Linked DNA regions of Danio rerio. The protein of the gene in region 2 purifies or fractionates together with the protein of the main gene of each other region. This does not show direct contact. Links are inferred from orthologs where the notes say so. Each region holds a gene or a part of one and is shown on either strand. Other genes may lie near its edges.

Region 1 (6,569 bases), on a different chromosome or scaffold from region 2:
TGCTACTTGGCACTGTAACTTAACACTGGCCTGTACTTTAAAAATCATGATATACTGACAGGATTTAAAGATGCCACTGTGAATTTGCATCCAAAGAAAAAGACTGGAGTACAGTTACAGACACAGCTTCACTTTAAAACAAGAGTTTGGACAACTAAGGACAGTAGACATTGTGTGGTTTTACATGTGCACGTTTTATTTGGGTTGACTTGTCAGTGTACAGAGACACCCTGGCTTACATTTTCAAGGGACATCCCTTATTCACATACCCTAGGGAAGTCCTGCAAGATCTTCACTTTTTAAAAGGTAAAGCTTTCCCCTCATTGCAACAATAACAAACTGGGCCAAGTTTAAGGCTGAAGTACAAAAAGAAAAACAATGTATCGAGTACATAATTTACATAAACACTATAACAAAAAGGTCATGGACGCCCATTGTGAGGAGGGCAAAGTGGTAAACGCTTCTGGAATGACTAAAAGAAATGTACATTGAAGTCCTCTCGGGGAAAGCTCCTCCCCCTGTTAGACAACTACCTCCCTTTCCAGTTTCCGCATCCTGAGTCAATGCGCCATACAGAGCAGAAGCCATGCTGATGTCATCTTGTTCGAGAGGTTTAGGTTGGTCGTTCGTTTGAATCTCATTGCATGGCCATTTTAAGGTGGCAACAGTTCTGTTTAGAAGCACTTCCTGTGGACGATGGATGGGCCAGACTCATCGTACTCCTGCTTGCTGATCCACATCTGCTGGAAGGTGGACAGGGAGGCCAAGATGGAGCCACCGATCCAGACGGAGTATTTACGCTCAGGGGGAGCAATGATCTACAAGAGAAAGGGGACGTTAGCTCATCTGAAATCACTGCAAGCAAACTGCTATGAAAGTGAAAATGGGCAGGTGCATCACCTTGATCTTCATGGTGGAAGGAGCAAGAGAGGTGATCTCCTTCTGCATACGGTCAGCAATGCCAGGGTACATGGTGGTACCTCCAGACAGCACTGTGTTGGCATACAGGTCCTTACGGATGTCCACGTCGCACTTCATGATGGAGTTGAAGGTGGTCTCATGGATACCGCAAGATTCCATACCTGCACCAATAAAAGCAAACGTTAGTCACTGTTGAAGGATCACTTTTGAAAGGGAGATCAGTTTAAATGCATGGCAAGGAACTCACCCAGGAAGGAAGGCTGGAAGAGAGCCTCGGGGCAACGGAAACGCTCATTGCCAATGGTGATGACCTGACCGTCAGGCAGCTCATAGCTCTTCTCCAGGGAGGAAGAGGAGGCAGCGGTTCCCATCTCCTGCTCAAAGTCCAGGGCCACGTAGCACAGCTTCTCCTTGATGTCACGGACAATTTCTCTTTCGGCCGTGGTGGTGAAGCTGTAGCCACGCTCGGTCAGGATCTTCATCAGGTAGTCTGTCAGGTCACGACCAGCCAGATCCAGACGCAGGATGGCATGGGGAAGAGCGTAACCCTCATAGATGGGCACGGTGTGGGTCACACCATCACCAGAGTCCATCACAATACCAGTAGTACGACCAGAAGCGTACAGAGAGAGCACAGCCTGGATGGCCACATACATGGCAGGGGTGTTGAAGGTCTCGAACATGATCTGTAGAAGAGATAATTGGTTAAAAACCAAACTCAGAGCCTCAAATCTGCGTGAGTATGGGTGCACAACAGGGCAAGAAAGCCTCCAACACACCATGCTAAAACGCTCAACTGTGGAGAGTTAAGGTTAGAAGCTACCATGCAAGAGGGGGAAAAGGAATGAAAAAATAGGGATGAACCTTTTGAACCTCCTATCAAGAGATCATGGCAAGTGACAGAGCCTAAGAGGAAATGGACAGAAAGGAAGTGAACAAAGAGGGGAAGAAAGCCAAATAAGGCAATATGAAAATCAAATTGATCACAGGAACACACCTGTGTCATCTTCTCTCTGTTGGCTTTGGGATTCAGGGGAGCCTCAGTGAGCAGCACAGGGTGCTCCTCAGGGGCAACACGGAGCTCATTGTAGAAGGTGTGATGCCAGATCTTCTCCATGTCATCCCAGTTAGTCACAATACCGTGCTCAATGGGGTATTTGAGGGTCAGGATACCTCTCTTGCTCTGGGCCTCATCTCCCACATAGGAGTCTTTCTGTCCCATGCCAACCATCACTCCCTAGAGGAAGAAAAAGTAAAGGGATTAAAGCACCAGCTCACCGAGAAATGAGGAACTGCAAAGAGGAACCAATTTGTTTGAAGGAATTTAAAAACGTTGAAGGTTAGCTTAAAACAGATTCACTTGAATTTATTGTAATGAACGCTTAAATTAACTTTTATTAGATCTGACTTTCAAAGCTGAAGAACTTCGAAACAAACGAGAATCAGATCAAGTTTAAAAATCACTTATGCAAGCAGATTCTCAAAACAGGCAATAAAGCTGTGAATTAACACTTTAATAAACTTCATTATCTAAAAACGAATATAAATCGATTTTAAAAGATGTAAAATGCACAAATGAGAGTTTAATGTGGTTCAATATGATTAACATGTTATTAGGATGGTTTATTAAATGTACCTGATGTCTGGGTCGTCCAACAATGGAGGGGAAAACAGCACGAGGGGCATCATCTCCAGCAAAACCGGCTTTGCACATACCGGAGCCGTTGTCAACGACCAGGGCAGCGATTTCCTCATCCATGGCTGTAGGGAAAAAAAGCGAAACTGTTAAAATATGAATGGGTAGTGTCTTTTATAGGCGGTGATGACTGATGGATTTGTGACGTCTGGCCAGTAGGCGGCGCAAAGGCGCAGGGTTGAAACCAAGAGATTTGAGACAAAGGAAGTGGCCAGGCAGCCTCACTATTGCCTTATATGGCAATAAGTTAGAGCAGCTCAATGCCGCCGATTCAGCGCGTGGAATCAGACCAACGGACGCGACCACTCCCTCCCGGTCTCAAAGGCCGAGATAAGCGCTTTACAACGCCACGAGTGAAATCCCGGTGCTCACTAAAACACGCTCTTGTCTTTTGAAAAGGAAATAAAACGAAGCCATTTCAACAGAAAGAGTAACTTAACTTTAACGAACTAGAAGTGCTGCAATAATCTTTAACTTCGTGTGTGACTGACAAGTTTATGAAATCCCAACAACGTTACAGACAAACAAGAAACTTTAAAAGCTTTTATATATATTTGACCGTGCACACGAATTAAACGGCAGTGATACCGGTTAATGCGTTATAGTAGCCACACCCACCATTCAAACTGCGAACACTGCCGTTGATGATACTAACGTTAACGTTGATTAATAAATCCACATTTAAATTAAACCTTACATTAAAAATCAATTTACTACCAAATATGAATTTAATAAATCGCTTTATGTAGAAGGCTTTACAGTTGTATTACTCTAACGTTAGCTTTGAAAGCTGGAACTGCTACCGGTTAAAACCATTAATAAAACACAAGCACAAAAATCAGCATAACTTATTCAGCGTTGTAAAAATCAACAGCAAAGTACATATTTAGGCAGACAGGACCAAGACTTCAATTCAAATCCGATCAGCAAGCAAAATGAAATATAGCTTTAATAAATAAATCTCCAATAATCATCATAAGCATTACTAAATTATTCCAAATACCAGTAAATATTAATATAAAAGCATTCTCACCTGTGTATTAGTAGGTTATTGTGAACAAGGGGAGTGAAGATCTTCTCAGCGTGCACTGAAAACTCACAATGCTGAGCGTGAGGTGGGTCACAGCTTTATAGCCGGCACTGCGGCCGGCTCCTTCCATATAAGGTAAACTTTCGGCAGCGAGCGGTCTGATTGGCCAGCCGTCGTCCACTTGGCGAGTTTCAAGCTAGTTGCTTGAAATTCAAGTTCTGGGTTGAAATAATGTATGTCAGGGATCGGCGAAAAGGCGAAATAATTTGATAAGGAAATACACGATAAGTTGATTTGACACAGCATTGGCAGATGTAACACTTGAATTAAGGATATGTATATCATTTGGATTGGAACACAGTTAAATCAGTAAAGGATGCTAGACTTCATGTCTGTGGCTTAACGTTACTTTTAAATAACCTCACATACAGCGAGTAACGTTAAATAGTTTATTATTTCTGTGAAAAACGAGCAATGCATGATGTAAAGTTGCATTTATATAAGCTGTACTTAGGCTGCAGGAATGACAGGACGTTTAAACATAGCAGTACGACATTGTCCAATAGTATTTAAACTTATATTGTATTTTACTGTATGTTTCAGCTCTATAAATGACAACAATGTGTAAACTAACGTTATACAAGAGCCATTATTGGTAGAACAGAGAAGAAATCATTATTTGATTAACGTTATACACTAATCTGCTTTACATTTCAGTTAATGTTTGACAGCTAGTTGAAAACGACTCATTTACGATTAATTCTTGAGAAGACATTTTAAGTGTGTCATTTTATTAGGTTAGTTTGATGAACAACGTGGGCGTGGCTCCCATTTAAAGTACAGGTACTTCTCGTGACTCTATAAAACATAATGTAAAAGCATATTTAAAAAAGGCTTTATTTGTGAACATTGCACTGTTTAATTCAATCGTAGGTTGCTTTTGTGCATAATGCTTTGCTGTTTATAATATCATGGATGTAAAGCTGCAGAAGATCAGGAGTCATTCGGAAATTAATGAAATATTGACTATTGTTTTGTTGTTGCTCAGATCGGCGTCTGTTACATCGCCGCTCGGCATGTTAGATGCAACCGTATTAAGCATATTTCATTTTATCTGGTTATCTGCAAAGCAGGGGATACAAAACAAGGGCACGGTGCTCCATAGAAAACAACACTTCCTGTCAAGCCGGCTTTTGCGTAATTACGTCATAAACCGATGACGCTTCACGCTGCTGCATTACTGGAATCTGAAGAGTGCACAAAAAAAATCAGCCTACATACCCTGTTACTTAAAAAGACTGATAATATAAACTATTGAATAACACTATATGTCGTGAATGTTTTGAAGCACAGACTGTTTAGTTTACATTCGATAAAGTAATGTGACACTGATAGGCTAGGCTAATGGCTTCAAGGAAAAAAAAATACTAGAAAGGGTTCCTATTTAGGCTAAACGAGATCCCAAATTGATTTAATATGACTTTTCATTGAAAATATGTAAATTCTTTAGCATATTCCGGTTTTTCAGAGGAACCAAGGGGTCATAAATAGGTGTTAATCCCAGTTTTAAATGTCCTGCCTTCAGCTTGGGCAATCTGAGACGCGTGGCAGCACGCCCTATCCATGGTGCTTTGCAATTCTTATCTTATCAGCATGAAACCAAAAAGGGGACTAAATTGTGCATTTAATGTTAAAATCGTAAGGAGCAATGGCTGTTAAAACGTCACCAGGATGACACCTAATACATCTGCCCACTCCCTAATCTGCCCATTCTTAAATGTTAAATGCTGATGTTTTGAAGCAAAGACTAGTTTACATTGATAAATGTGTAGGGACTATTAGCAACAAATGCTATCATGAAAGAAACCAAAATACTACACAGCGTTTATTTTGGCTAAACAAGGTCCCAGATCGATTTGATATGAATTTACATTGAAATATGTAAATCCTTTACCTATTCGGGTTTTTTAGGAGGCCATGGGGTCATAAATAGATGTTAATGCCAGTTATAATGTCCTGCCTTTAGCATGGGCAATCTGAGACGCGTGGCAGCATGCCTTATCCAGGGGGCTTTGCAATTCTTGTCTTATCTTGTCAGCATGAAACCAAAAAGAGGACTAAATTGTGCATTTAATGTTAAAATCTTTAGGAGCTATGGTTATTGAAATGTCAGTAGGGCTATGTCACCACTTGATAAACAGTCTGTTGTGTGATTTATCTAGTGACGAAAGCAGCTTGTCATCAGAAAATGTCTGTAATGATGCTTCCAACAGCAGTGACACCCAATACATCTGCCCACCCCCACATCCTAGGCGTGCAGTGATGTAAATATTGAATTTTGACTACCTATAGAATCCAAATGTCATACCTATAACTCACTGAGCCTTATAGAAAAGATAAACTTCATCACAGAGGTCAATGAGTCATAGGTACAGTTTATTGCCTCATGATTATTTCACAAAGTGCTCTACATTCCTGATACCGGGCCCATTCTTTCCTAGGTGTGTGAGTTTCAGCTTGGTGTTTAGGGTGGAGGGGAGTTTCTTTTTAGCTGTAGAGGAAATCTGAAAAGGTTTCTATTTTTTTCCTACTATGCAAGTCAATGGTTAGGCTACAGGTTTTTAGCTTTCCTCAAAATATCTCCTGTGTTTTGAACAGAAAAATGAAACTCTTTAAGGTTTTTAACCACTTGAGGATGAGTAAATAGTGAGAAATACGTCATTTTTGAATGTACTGTGCTTTTATGATTACTAGAAAGTATTGCATATGTGTTTATGATAACTTTTTGATTTCCTATCATTTCTGTCATCAGCAGATTACTGAGGCCCTTATAAGGTTGTTTCAAACAGAAAGAGGAAGAGGAAGAGAGAGAGAGGCGACTAAGTGTTACAGCAGCCACAGCACAATGTGACAAATCTGAGA
Region 2 (5,910 bases):
AAAGCCACATAAAACAACACAGAAATATGATAAATATGCCGAGTTCAGTGGCTAATCTGCAGGATTCAGCTGAGGTGACGGCGAACAGCGAGACCAAGCTGTCACTCAAGTGGCCACGCCCTTAATTATGCAAACTTAATATAAAGGAAACGGATGAGTTATAAAAAAAATTCACCCCCCCTCACAGTTGTCATGAAGGGTAATATTAGCTGTATTACCTAAAATCTTTTTTTGTAGCAGGCTGTAAACACCTTTGTTTCTGCTGTAAAGTTGGCCATGCTAACAGTGGGCTCAATTGAAATTTGCTCTATTTTGGAGCCAGGAGCGGCCAGGACTAGCGGAATTTCGGATGAATTGCAGTTTTAGTTACTTCTGTATTGGCTTCCTGAGGGAGAGCGGGAGGTTGCCGATTGGTTTAAACAATAAATAATAATTTAAATAATCACTGCCACTTTTGATCTATTTATTGATTTTGCTAACTAAATTAAATTCATATATTTTTAAAAACAATCCAAAAATGTTACGATGTAATAATGCCAAACAGGGCAACGTGGTGGCTTAGTGGTTAGCGCTGTCGCCTCGCAGCAAGAAGGTTGCAGGATCGAGTCCCGGCAGGGTCAGTTGGCATTCCTGTGTGGAGTTTGCATGTTCTCCTCGTGTTGGTGTGGGTCCAAACACATGCGCTATAGAGGAATTAACTAAATTGGCCGTAGTGTATGAGTGTGTAAATAGGTGTGTATAGGTGTTTCCTAGTACTTGGAAGGGCATCCACTGTGTAAAACATATGCTGGAGTAATTGTCAGTTCATTCCGCTGTGGCGACCCCAGATTAATAAAGGGACTAAGCCGAAAAGGAAATGAATGATTGAACATTGCAAAACAATGATTCAATACCTTCAGGGCTGAATCTTCATAAATGACCAGTGTCCCGTCTGCTGTGCCCACCAAAAGATAACTCTTCAGACATCTGCAGACAAAAATAAGCATCATTTTTTCAATTTAAGCTAGATCAACCAAGCGTGTGTCACAAGCAGATTTATTAACCTGTGCTGGAGCTCGGTGTGAAAGTACAGAGACGTCACAGAGTCCTTCACACTCTTCAGACGGTGCAGGACTTTCGCATTAATGGTGTCCATGATAAAGAGCGAACCGGACTCTGAACCAGCCACTAGCCAGTCACTGCACGAGTCTGCAGCTCTGATGATCACCATGCAGAGGATAGGGCTGCGGTCCAGCTCCTGAAACACAGCATTAGGAACAGTACACTGTTATAGTAAATAGCTGGCTAAATGATGCACATTTCTAGCATGAATTAGCACAATATAGTTTATATAATAAACATGTCAGGAAGCATTAGCCATGTGTTAAAACATGCTAGAAACATGGCTATTGCCTCCTAAAATGTTTGTAACATTCTATTTGGATTCATTAAGATGTTGCTAACATGATTAAGACTATGATAATGTGAATTAGCATGTTATAGCAAGTCTTAACATGCTAATATGCTTAAGCATTCTGCTAGCATGTTTTAACACATAACTAATATGCTTTAACGTTCTGTTAACATGTTTTAAAATATTATGAACATACTTTAACATTCTGTTAGCATGCTTCAACACATAATGAATATGCTTTAGCATTCTGTTAGCATGTTAACACATAATGAATATGCTTTAACATTCTGTTAGCATGTTTTAACATACCAAATATGCTTTAGCATTCTGTTAGCATGTTTTAACACATGCTAACAGAATGCTAAAGCATATTTGGTATGTTAAAACATGCTAACAGAATGTTAAAGCATATTCATTATGTGTTAACATGCTAACAGAATGCTAAAGCATATTTGGTATGTTAAAACATGCTAACAGAATGTTAAAGCATATTCATTATGTGTTAAAACATGCTAACAGAATGCTAAAGCATATTCATTGTGTTAAAACATGCTAACAGAATGCTAAAGCATATTCATTATGTTTTAACACAATGAATATGCTTTAGCATTCTGTTAGCATGCTTTTAAAAAATGGGAGGAGCTACTCTATGCCCCGCCCTCGATTCATGTTTCGTTTAAGATTGTCAAACATCGAATAAAAAAAAAAAAGTTCACATGTCAAAGCACGGGACCTTTAAATCTTGATGCAATAAATCTGCATGTTTTAGCACCTGGTTCAAACTCCCGCCGGTCTCCAGATCCACCGCAGTCACACAGCCCAGTTTCTGGCTGCTGCTGCCACCACCGATCCACACATGAGGGTTTTTACCTCCGTTTGCAGCTCCGCCTGAATTGGACACGACAAAACACTCGCCTGGAAAACCCACAACATTCAGCTCTCGCATCAGACACAACATCTCTGCAGAGTTCAGACGATCAAACACCTGAAACACATTTACAGTTAAAGTAAGAATATTATCCCCTCTGTATATCGTTTTCCCCAATTTCTGTTTAATGTATAGATTTTTCAGCACATTTCTAATCATAAGTTTTAATAACTCATCTCTAATAACTGACTAATTTTATCTTTGTCATGACGACTGCACATATTATTACACTAGATATTCATCTAGATGATTGTATTCAGCTTAAAGTGACATTTAAAGGCTTCACTAGGGTAATTGGGGTAAAGTTAGGGTAATTAGGCAAGTCATTGTATAACAGTGGTTTATTCTGGAGACAATCCAACACTAATATTGCTTAAGGGGGTGAATAATATTGACCTTAAAATGCCTTTACAACAATTAAAAACTGCTTTTATTCTAGCCTAAATAAAACAATTAAGAAGAAAAAAATATTATAGGAATTACTGTGAAAAATTCTTGAATCTGTTCAACATCATTTGGGAAATATTGGAAAAGGAACAAAATAATTTACAGGACAGCGAATCATTTTGACTTCAACACTACATAAAAACTACAACATGACTTTCAAGAGAAGGTGGAGGTCGGTGTTTGGGATGGTGTGGGAATATAATAGTAGTAATACTCCTAATATGATGGTAGTGTAAACCCAAGTCTCACCTGAGCAGACGTCGGCCTGTCCTGGGGGTTTTCTCTCATACATTCCCTCATGAGAGACTCAATCTCAGGCCATGGAGAACAGCCGTAATCCTTCACTGGATCTACACAACAGGTTATTTTAAGACAATTTTCTAATGAATAGGCATAGTAAAATAACAACAACAACAACAACAATAATAATAATAATAATAATAATAATAATAATAATAACAGGGATAGCATAATAGATTTAGTATAACAACAGGTATAGGGATAACATAATAGGTATAGTATAATAATAATAATAATAATAATAATAATGATAGGGATAGCATAATAACAGGTATAGGGATAATATATGATAGGGATGGTATAATAATAATAGGGATAGTATAGTAATAGGGATAGTAAAATAGGGATTGGGATAGTATAATAATGGTAGGGATAGTATAATAGGAACAGTATAATAAGAATAGGGATAATTCACCCCAAAAATAAAATGCTGTCACCATTTACTCTTCCTTCACTTGTTAAAGTTTGTTTTGAGTTTCATGTTTCTGCAAAACACAAGTTTAGCGGTAACTTCAGCGTTAAGCTCAATAAGGAGACTCAAAGATTTACTCACCCTTTACTTGTTCCAAACCTTTATTTTTGGGTGAACTATTGCTTTAATGCAGTGCTAACTGGCAAACATCTCACAGCATGATCGAGCATATAAAATGTATTTGTTTACATCTTGCTTTCAGGGGTCAGTAAGCCCCTCCCCCTTCCATAAGCCAACTCCGCTCTCATTGGTCAGCAAACCAAAGTCTCAGTTGATTGGTCTGTTTTATCCTGTGTCGAAAAGTAAACTAATATTTTTAGTGTTGATGTCGCGAAAGGTGGAGACTATGCAAATATGACTCCATTCTCTTTTCAAAAGAGGGCGGAGCTACAGATGCCTGTGTGTCATTAGCATAGGACGTCAGTCTTGTTTTTGAATCTGCCACTGCTCTGAGGGAGAGATGGGTACTTTAGGGGGCGGGTCTTTCCCCCTCTGATTGACATTCTCCCTTTGTATGATGTCAAAGCATTTCTGCAGTTATCAAGTCTGATATTAACAAATACAATAAATACTATTTTACAATTAGAAGCTGGTTATTTTCACACACTGCTGACACACAACTGTGTTTAACCCCCTAATTTAATATCATGTGGGCGTCTCGCCTCAAACTGAGCATTACCTGGTAGTTTGCCCTGCACGGCCACTTCATCGAACTCACTGGGAAACTTCATGCCATCTGAGATGCGCTCGCCGTATGTTAACAGATCATACAGCAGCAGACCGAACGAATAAACATCCGCCTGGACGTTGTAGATGACGTTTCCTCGAGCCACCTCCGGGGCTCGAAAACCTGCGCAAGATCAAGACTCAAAATCACAACACAGGTAAAAATCCTCAGTGCAAGTGTCCATTTTAAACCTTCAAAATTCTCTCCATCAATAGGCTTACAGCTGAAGGCAAAATTAAACATTCATATTATATTTCCCAAGTGATGTTTAACAGATGCTTTTTCAATGCTTATTTTTTCTTTATTTCTTTCAGTTTGGCTGAAATAAAAGCATTTATCTTAAAGGAGGATTATGGGTAAATGAGCGAGACCTGGTGTTCCTTCAGAGCTGCGGACGCCCATGCTGCAGCAGTACTGCGCGATGCCATAGTCTGTGATTTTAGCGACGATCTCAGCGTCCGTCTTCAGGTTGAACAGCAGAACGTTGTGCGGCTTCAGGTCTCGGTAGATGATCATAGATGAGTGCAAATATCTGTTCGGAAACAAAACGAGTCACAGATACCGTCCTATAGGTTGACATTGAACTGAGAAGATTTATTTAAAATGGCTGCGTGTAAGAATTGTGTATTAAATGCTTTTTTTTATTGCCAACGTGTCCTTTGTCGACTTTCTAGGTTTTTATCTTTATATAAAAAGGACATTTTTGCTAGGGAAAACAAGCATGTCACACATAATAGCAGTAAACGATGGTATTAAACTACTGGAACTACTTTCCCATTATGTTAATAAAAAAACACAAATGTAAGGCTCCAGTTCACTTAATGGCCACCGGTGTCGCTATAGTCACAAAAGTTTATCGGATTTCTACATTTAGTCTCTTTAAAAGGTGATTAATGCGTTTTGAAGTGCACCTACTTGAGACCATCAGCCACATGTAGTGCAATCCTGTGCTGTAATTTGCGACTTAAGCTGCCATTTTCACGCTCAAACAGCGAGTCCAGAGAGCCATACGGAGCCAACTCCATCACAAGTATATGTGGGTTACAACCAGCAGCCAAAAGACCCACCAAACTAGGATGACACAGTCTGCCGAGTACTGCCAGTTCCTGGAGATGGATCAGGAAGATGCATCAGTAACAATGTAGCAATAGTGGCGGACACACCAAGGTTCCTGCTGCATAACTCACCTGTCGTACCAGCCGGTGAACGTACAGCGCAGACGCATGTTTATTAAAAATCTTGACCGCAACTTCTTCATTCTTGTAGACAGCTTTATAAACCGAGCCAAAACCTCCATCCCCTTCAGTATAAAAACACACTGTTACTTTCGATCCACATTGCCTTCATGCTTGTCAGCTATTGGTAGATCATTGGAACTTATAGAATTTTGGTCATACGCCCACCCCTATATTCATATCATAACTATGTGGTGAAATATAGTATTTAAATAGGTGGTTATTCCAGAAAAAAACAAAAACAAAACAAGGTTATATTGCATAACTTCTTTCTTTTATGTGGATCATTTGTTTTCTTTATTTGTTATTAATGTTAAACTGCAGCCACTGAGTAAACGTCTAATAGGGGCAGGCACTATGACCCAGCAGGAGGCTGCTTTAAGAGTTTTATTGTAAAGGCTTAAATAT
Region 3 (6,683 bases), on a different chromosome or scaffold from region 2:
TGCCTAAAGGGTTAAATTCATTAAAATTGATAATGCATTTAATTTCCTTGGTAATAGACCACCCAAAAAATGCAATCAATTTCACACCCTTTGCCTAATAAAAAGAAATTGAAACATCTTGTACACCAGTAACCATTGATCTTCTTAGTTTGTTTTTTGTACTATGGAAGTCAATGGCTATCATCTTCAGTGTTCAGAAAAGTCAATCAGGTTAGGAACCACTTGAGGGAGAGTAAATGAGTCATTTAATAACTGTGAACTATCCCTTTAAAACTGCTGATCTAATAAACATCTAGGCAGATAGTTTTCATACCATCATCATCGTCGTCATCCTCTTCACTGGACTCTTCAGCAGGAGCTGCTTTCTTTGCAGGAGCTGCTGCTTTAGCTGGAGCTTTAGCGGCCTTCTTTGGAGGCGGAGCTTCCTCTTCTGTGAAGTACAAGTCAATGCAAATTACACCTGACCTTCAGACTCAAAGGAATAAAAAAAATAAAATAAAAATGCACGACTGAAAACTTTGCTAACCAGATTCATCATCTTCATCGTCGTCATCTTCATCCTCACTCTCCTGTTTGGCAGCAGCTTTTCCGTTTTTCACTGCCTTCACAGGAGCCGCGTTTTTCTTCGCTACAGCTTTGACTGGTGGTGCCTGCCGAATACACAGTTCATTAAATACCTTTCAATAGCAACAGGAAAAAAATAAAGCGCATTATTTGTCAGCCTCCTCACCTCTTCTTCCTCATCGTCATCACTGTCCTCCTCGCTGGATTCCTCTTCCACTTCTTTAGGAGGTGGAGGTGCCTTTTTCTTCGGCGGCGCATCTTTTTTAGCTGCCTGTAACAAACAAGCAATGAAAATATTAATTTAAATGTTGATTTGTGCGATTAGAAATTGATTTAGCAACTAGACAGTCAAAGCTTTGCACATTTAGTCAACAGAAACCTCAAATGGTTTCAGTTTCAGTTTCAGTCCTGCGGTGCAAGAAAGATTTAACAGATTGTTTTAGCACTTGTGCATGTATTAAACACGAGTTCCACCCTTTATAAATTAGCTAGATGCCATTATGCAGAAATGACAGCATATAGTTTAAGCTTCAATCAATGACACATTCAATCTTGATGCATTCGAACGCTTTCACTTCAGCATTTGTTTGGAGATCATGAGGTGTGGCTACTCTTGTTTAGGCTATATAAAGCTTTAAAAGTGCAATAAATTTAATACATCTGTATGCTCAGCGTTCATACTTCATAAACAGTCATAGCTGAAACCATATTGCATTGAATTAGAAACTTACAATTGGTAAAGCTGACAAGAATACAAAATTCTGAATGTCACCATGTTTATAGCATGATCCATTATTAATCTTTTCACACTTGAAATCTCAAATGTCATTATATATATATTAATGAAAAAAAAAACCCTACATGAATTTTTATACAAATGTTCACTTAAATCAGTGACAATTATTCTGATTTAATGCACTACGATGTAGAATATGTACTTAATGTCCCACACTCAGAGCAAATGTCAAGTCTTACTAGCCGATTGAGTGAGCACACTTTCGTTCTGCCCAATCAGAACTTTTCAATCTGCCTCTTATCGGTCTCATTAATTTGCGGAGTGTACTTTCACAATTATTATATTATTGTAAGTATAATAACAAGGTGTCTACAAGTTCCAGCAAGTCAAATTTAAGACCAATTCAGACTTGCACAAGGCTAAACACTAAAGATTTTTTAATGGCCAAGTTAAAACCATATCATTAAAAACAAATGTTTTTGCAAAGATAAATAAAACCATATTAATATGCAAATAGTGTAAATGATGTTTTTTTTAAACTTATGAAATATAATGTTAGTTATTAGACGGGTGCTGTCCTGATTGGGTATAGCTTTACAGAGGAAAATTAAGACCAGTTTAAAATTAAGACCTACAACACAATAGTGCAGCGGATTAAAGACTTTAAGGCCTAAAATTCATATATATTTAATTTTAAAACTTTACAATTCTGCAGATACCTTAAATAAGCTACATCATCTCCTTACTTTGAGCTGATGCACAAAAAGGAAAGGTAATTTTTTTTATCTTACTGTTTGCTCAAGCGAAAAATGATTTCAATTTCTGAATATTTAACAACTAATTTGAATAAATGGTGAAATTAATATTATTAATATATAATAACATATATAATAATAATCATATCTATGCAGTGAAACAGACTGAGCTGAATCTTGACTCAAATCAAAAAAATCTGTCAAAACAAAAATTGCAATCAAGACATTTTCTCCAAATCGCACATCCCCCTTAGCTCTTGCAGTTAGGGCTATGAAAGGGTCAAATAAACTAAACATCTAGGGGGGGAAAAAAAAAAGTACACCCAAGTTGTCTCAAGACAGACATAGTTGACCAATGAAAGGTCTTAACCATCCTCAAATGTTGACTTGTGTACATTTAACAAGACTTGGCATTCATTAAGTTCACAGGTAACTTGTGCATGTTTAAAACACAAACACAATCTTGCATAAACAAGCGTAAGATTTCGCATAAAAATCTGAATTCTCATCTAAAACTTTTCATCTTTAGTATTAATACATTTATAAGACAAATGTGCAAAAAAAAAAAAAAAAAAAAAAAAAAAGATAAATACAAGACTGGCACAACACCAATTAAAATATTTAGATTGGTTCCTAAAATCCAACATTTTTACCTTTCAATCACTAAAGGTGTAACACGTGTTATTGGAGATTTTGCATATAATTCATTCGTGGTACAACCTTTTAAAATTTGACTATTAAGTGCATGACTTAATGTAAATAATGTACTTATACAAATAATAAACTAAAATAAAATTATGACTGTTAATGAATATTTCTTAAGTATGGATCTGTAACAAAGTACTCAAAAAGTAAAGTACTGCTCGCGAAACTCCCCGCGTGGATCATCCCACGTGGGTTGAACGTAACACGTGGAAAACACACGTTAACCCTACAGCGAAGTAGAAATAACGTAATTAAATTAAATTTCGTGCCGCATTTACATACTTGACTCATATAAACAGTGAAACACGAGTTAAAACGCAATTGTGTTTAGTGCACGGTCTTATACGTGTTAAATGCCCCCACATTCACTACAGAGAGCCAAAATGGAGGCGTTTAGCATTTAGCTACTTTCCACGCATGGCGAACAAATGCCTTGGAGCTAAATCCACGACACATTAACACCTCCCCAGGGTTTATTAATCAACGCAATTTGTTTTTACAACATCACAAAACGAGTCTTCTTAAAATTCACCACGCATGTTCATCATGCGTGTTTGTTGAGGCCTGCAAATGCAGAAGCGTGGTCGGCCATGTTACCTTCACAAACAGGAAAAGCAGAAAACACACGCTAGCTCATTTTAGCCGTCAATACTGATCCTTAAATAAGTATTTGAATATTTAACCTTACATTCCGACGAATATTATATATGTTAAACTAAATATAACTCACACACATGGGCCTTCTCGCCAAATGTAAAAATAAAAACAGGAAAATACGCATTTTGAGATCCGTGCTGCATTTAAAGCGACAATAACGGATTGACGGTAATATCTTACCTTAGCGAGCTTTACCATGACTGAGGGCTGTTTTTACAGTAAAGCTGATAACTGAAAGAGAGAGATGGTAAGAACCGTTCAGTCACACGTGTTTCTCTCTACAGGACAGAAAAGAGCGCTCGATACGCTTTTAGTACGTCCTGAAAAACCCCGCCCACTACACCCATGACGTTTACCATATGCGCGTTCACGAAGCTCAATGTGAACCGAGTCGCTGCTGTTCAGACTCGTTATCTCCATTCGGTTCTTTTGAACAGTTTTTTTCTGATTTTTTTGCGCTCATTGAACAGTATGAATGAATGAATGAATGAATGAATGAATGAATGAATGAACTAGAAATTTAAAGTTCGTAGACAAACTTGGTCTCTTGAGAAAGCCGAGTCTGAAAGTGTGAAGTTTAAATAACTGAAGTGTTTTAAGTTTGAAACAGTTATCAAAAGATTAGCATGTTTCCAATATAGTTTGGTATGTTGCTAGGGGTTCTCAGTGGTTGCTATGCAGTTGGCAAGGCATTGCAACTCAGTTGTTTGGTTGTTCTGATTGGTTGCTAAGGTGTTGCTAGCCAGTTGTTAGGGTGTTCTGAGTGGTTGCTAAGGTGTTAATAAGTAGTTGCTAAGGCATTGCTAGGCGGTTGCTAAGGTGTTGCCTGGGACTTCTGAGTTGTTGCTAAGGCATTACTAGGAAGTTGTTAGGGTGTTCCAGGTGGTTTCTAAGACGTTGCTAGGTGGTTGCTTATGTGTTCTGAGTGGTTGCTAAGGTTTTGCTAGGCGGTAGCTAAGGTGTTTCTAGGCAGTTGCTAGGGTGTTCTAGGTGGTTACTAAGATGTTGCTAGTCGGTTGATGTGTTCTGAGTGGTTGCTAAGGAGGTGTTAGGTGGTTGCTATAGATGATCTAGCTCGTTGCTTATGTGTTGCTAGGTGGTTGCTAGCATGCTCTGATTGGTTGCTAGGCCGTTGCTAAGGTGTTGCCTGGGAATTCTGAGTGGTTGCTAAAGCATTGCCATATATATATATGTGTGTGTGTGTGTGTGTGTCATTGCAAGGCATTGCTAGGTGGTTGCTAGGGTGTTTCAGGTGTTTCAGGTGGTTACTAAGATGTTGCTAGCAGTTGCTAGGTCATTTCTAAGGTGTTGCTAGGTGGTTGCTAAGGTGTTTTGAGTGGTTGCTAGGTGGTTGCTAAGGTGTTCTGAGTATGTTTCAAGTATGATTAGTATATATTGGTATGTCATTACCATATATATATATATATATATATATATATATATATATATATATATATATATATATATATATATATATATATATATATATGTGTGTGTGTCTGTGTGTGTGTGTGTGTGTGTGTGTGTGTGTGTGTGTGTGTGTGTGTGTGTGTGTGTGTGTGTGTGTGTGTGTGTCATTGCAAGGCATGTCATGTTTCTAATGTGGATCAGTATATTGTCAGTATGAACTGGTATGTCACTCACTTTAACGTTAATTTTACAGAATCACTGTGCTTATCACTGGGTGACGAGCTGTTATAATACGCTAAAAGCATTATGTAAATTTTATATATATATATATATATATACATATATATTTATTTATTTATATATATATATATGTATATATATATATATATATATATATATATATATATATATATATATATATATATATATATATATATATATATATATATATATATACGTATGTTGTCAATATAACTTATTTCTTAGACAAAAACAAACTCTGTGCCTCGCTGTAAATGCTAGCGCTCCCGTTTTTTTTTTCTTCTGGTACCTTGTTGTTTGCAAACATGGTAATTCGTCTATATGGCACTTCTTATATATAATCATGAAATTTATTTTACAAATTTGCTCGAAAGTTTTATTATTATTATTGTTGTATATCAAAAATATATTTACAAGAAAACTTATTTTTTTTATTTTGTAAATTTAAATATAAACAATCACACGTGAGGCATCCCAAGCATCAACCAATCAGGCTTTTAAAAAAGACGGCGCTACCTGCCGATTGGATGATGCCAATGTCAATCATGCTAAAACGTCTTCCCAGACCCTGATTCTTCATCTTCTCAGAGCTGCACTTTTCCGTGTTTTTTTTTTTTTCTTCCGTGTAGAGATTGTTAAGAAATATGAACATACTGATATTTTTGTGTGCATGCAAACTCTGAAATCACATCTTTGAGTAACTTACGCGTGCTTTATATGAACCACCCTACACACACACACACACACACACACACACTGAACCCAACGGCTCCGCCCACTGAAACGCTCACCAGAAAGAGACTCCCACTTGTTCCATTCAAGCAGACCTTCATCTAGATTTCACACAGCGGATCGCACACTTAATTTGTTTTTCCTTTTAAGCATTCAAGTAGTGGAAGTAAAGTTAAAACTAGTGGATTTCAAAATGGCTTCATCAGCTAAAGATGATTACACATGTCCTGTGTGTCAGGATATCTTCAAGACTCCAGTTATATTATCATGTGGCCACAGTTTCTGTCAAGAGTGTCTTCAGCAGTGTTGGAGAAGCGAGAATACTCAGGAGTGTCCCGTCTGCAGGACAAGATCCTCAATAGCTGATCCTCCAGTTAATCTGGCTTTACAAAACTTGTGTGAGTCGCATCTGAAAAAGAGAAATAAGAGACATTCATCAAGATCTGAGGAGATCTGCAGTTTACACGGTAAGAAACGAAGACTCTACTGTGTAAAGGACAAACAGCCTGTGTGTTTAGTGTGCAGAGATTCAGAGAAACACCTCAAACACACATTCAGACCCATCAGTGAAATGGTTTCACCAAAGAAGGTAAGACTGAATTACGCTTGAACTTCTATAATCATAGACATTTTTTTTACTTGTAGAAATGTCTCAGATTCATTTTGCTCATGAAAAATGTACTATTCAATAGTTTACACTATGAACACATTACTTTTATATCTGATGTCTTATAGATTTTGACTTTAATTCCAGGAGGAGCTCAATACAGCACTGGAGTCCTTACAAGAACAACTTGGACGTAAAAAAAAGTCCAAAATGGTGTTTGAGGAAACGGTTAAATACATCGAGGTGAGGATTAATC

Evidence for each region.
Region 1: the proteins of lrrk2 (region 2) and actb1 purify together in Homo sapiens (affinity purification with mass spectrometry; 3 studies listed by BioGRID and IntAct, with this or other methods). This does not show direct contact. The link is inferred for Danio rerio from reciprocal best matches to the Homo sapiens genes LRRK2 and ACTG1.
Region 3: the proteins of lrrk2 (region 2) and ncl purify together in Homo sapiens (co-immunoprecipitation; 3 studies listed by BioGRID and IntAct, with this or other methods). This does not show direct contact. The link is inferred for Danio rerio from reciprocal best matches to the Homo sapiens genes LRRK2 and NCL.

What each region holds. Positions count from the first base shown.
Region 1 is NC_133176.1:10,081,080-10,087,648, forward strand, and holds actb1 (actin, cytoplasmic 1), read right to left. Parts: upstream 3,750-6,569; 5' UTR 3,651-3,749; intron 2,683-3,650; 5' UTR 2,681-2,682; coding exon 2,558-2,680; intron 2,159-2,557; coding exon 1,919-2,158; intron 1,608-1,918; coding exon 1,169-1,607; intron 1,083-1,168; coding exon 901-1,082; intron 819-900; coding exon 675-818; 3' UTR 174-674; downstream 1-173. UniProt on the Homo sapiens protein: Actins are highly conserved proteins that are involved in various types of cell motility and are ubiquitously expressed in all eukaryotic cells.
Region 2 is NC_133200.1:38,200,592-38,206,501, forward strand, and holds part of lrrk2 (leucine-rich repeat serine/threonine-protein kinase 2), read right to left. Parts: intron 5,568-5,910; coding exon 5,455-5,567; intron 5,374-5,454; coding exon 5,183-5,373; intron 4,800-5,182; coding exon 4,639-4,799; intron 4,391-4,638; coding exon 4,220-4,390; intron 3,119-4,219; coding exon 3,018-3,118; intron 2,379-3,017; coding exon 2,166-2,378; intron 1,238-2,165; coding exon 1,044-1,237; intron 967-1,043; coding exon 894-966; intron 1-893. UniProt on the Homo sapiens protein: Serine/threonine-protein kinase which phosphorylates a broad range of proteins involved in multiple processes such as neuronal plasticity, innate immunity, autophagy, and vesicle trafficking.
Region 3 is NC_133197.1:38,757,822-38,764,504, forward strand, and holds the start of ncl (nucleolin), read right to left. Parts: upstream 3,750-6,683; 5' UTR 3,616-3,749; coding exon 3,598-3,615; intron 836-3,597; coding exon 731-835; intron 651-730; coding exon 527-650; intron 431-526; coding exon 314-430; intron 1-313. Other genes in the region: trim35-34 (tripartite motif containing 35-34), read left to right, coding at 6,014-6,409, 6,575-6,670. UniProt on the Homo sapiens protein: Nucleolin is the major nucleolar protein of growing eukaryotic cells. It is found associated with intranucleolar chromatin and pre-ribosomal particles. It induces chromatin decondensation by binding to histone H1.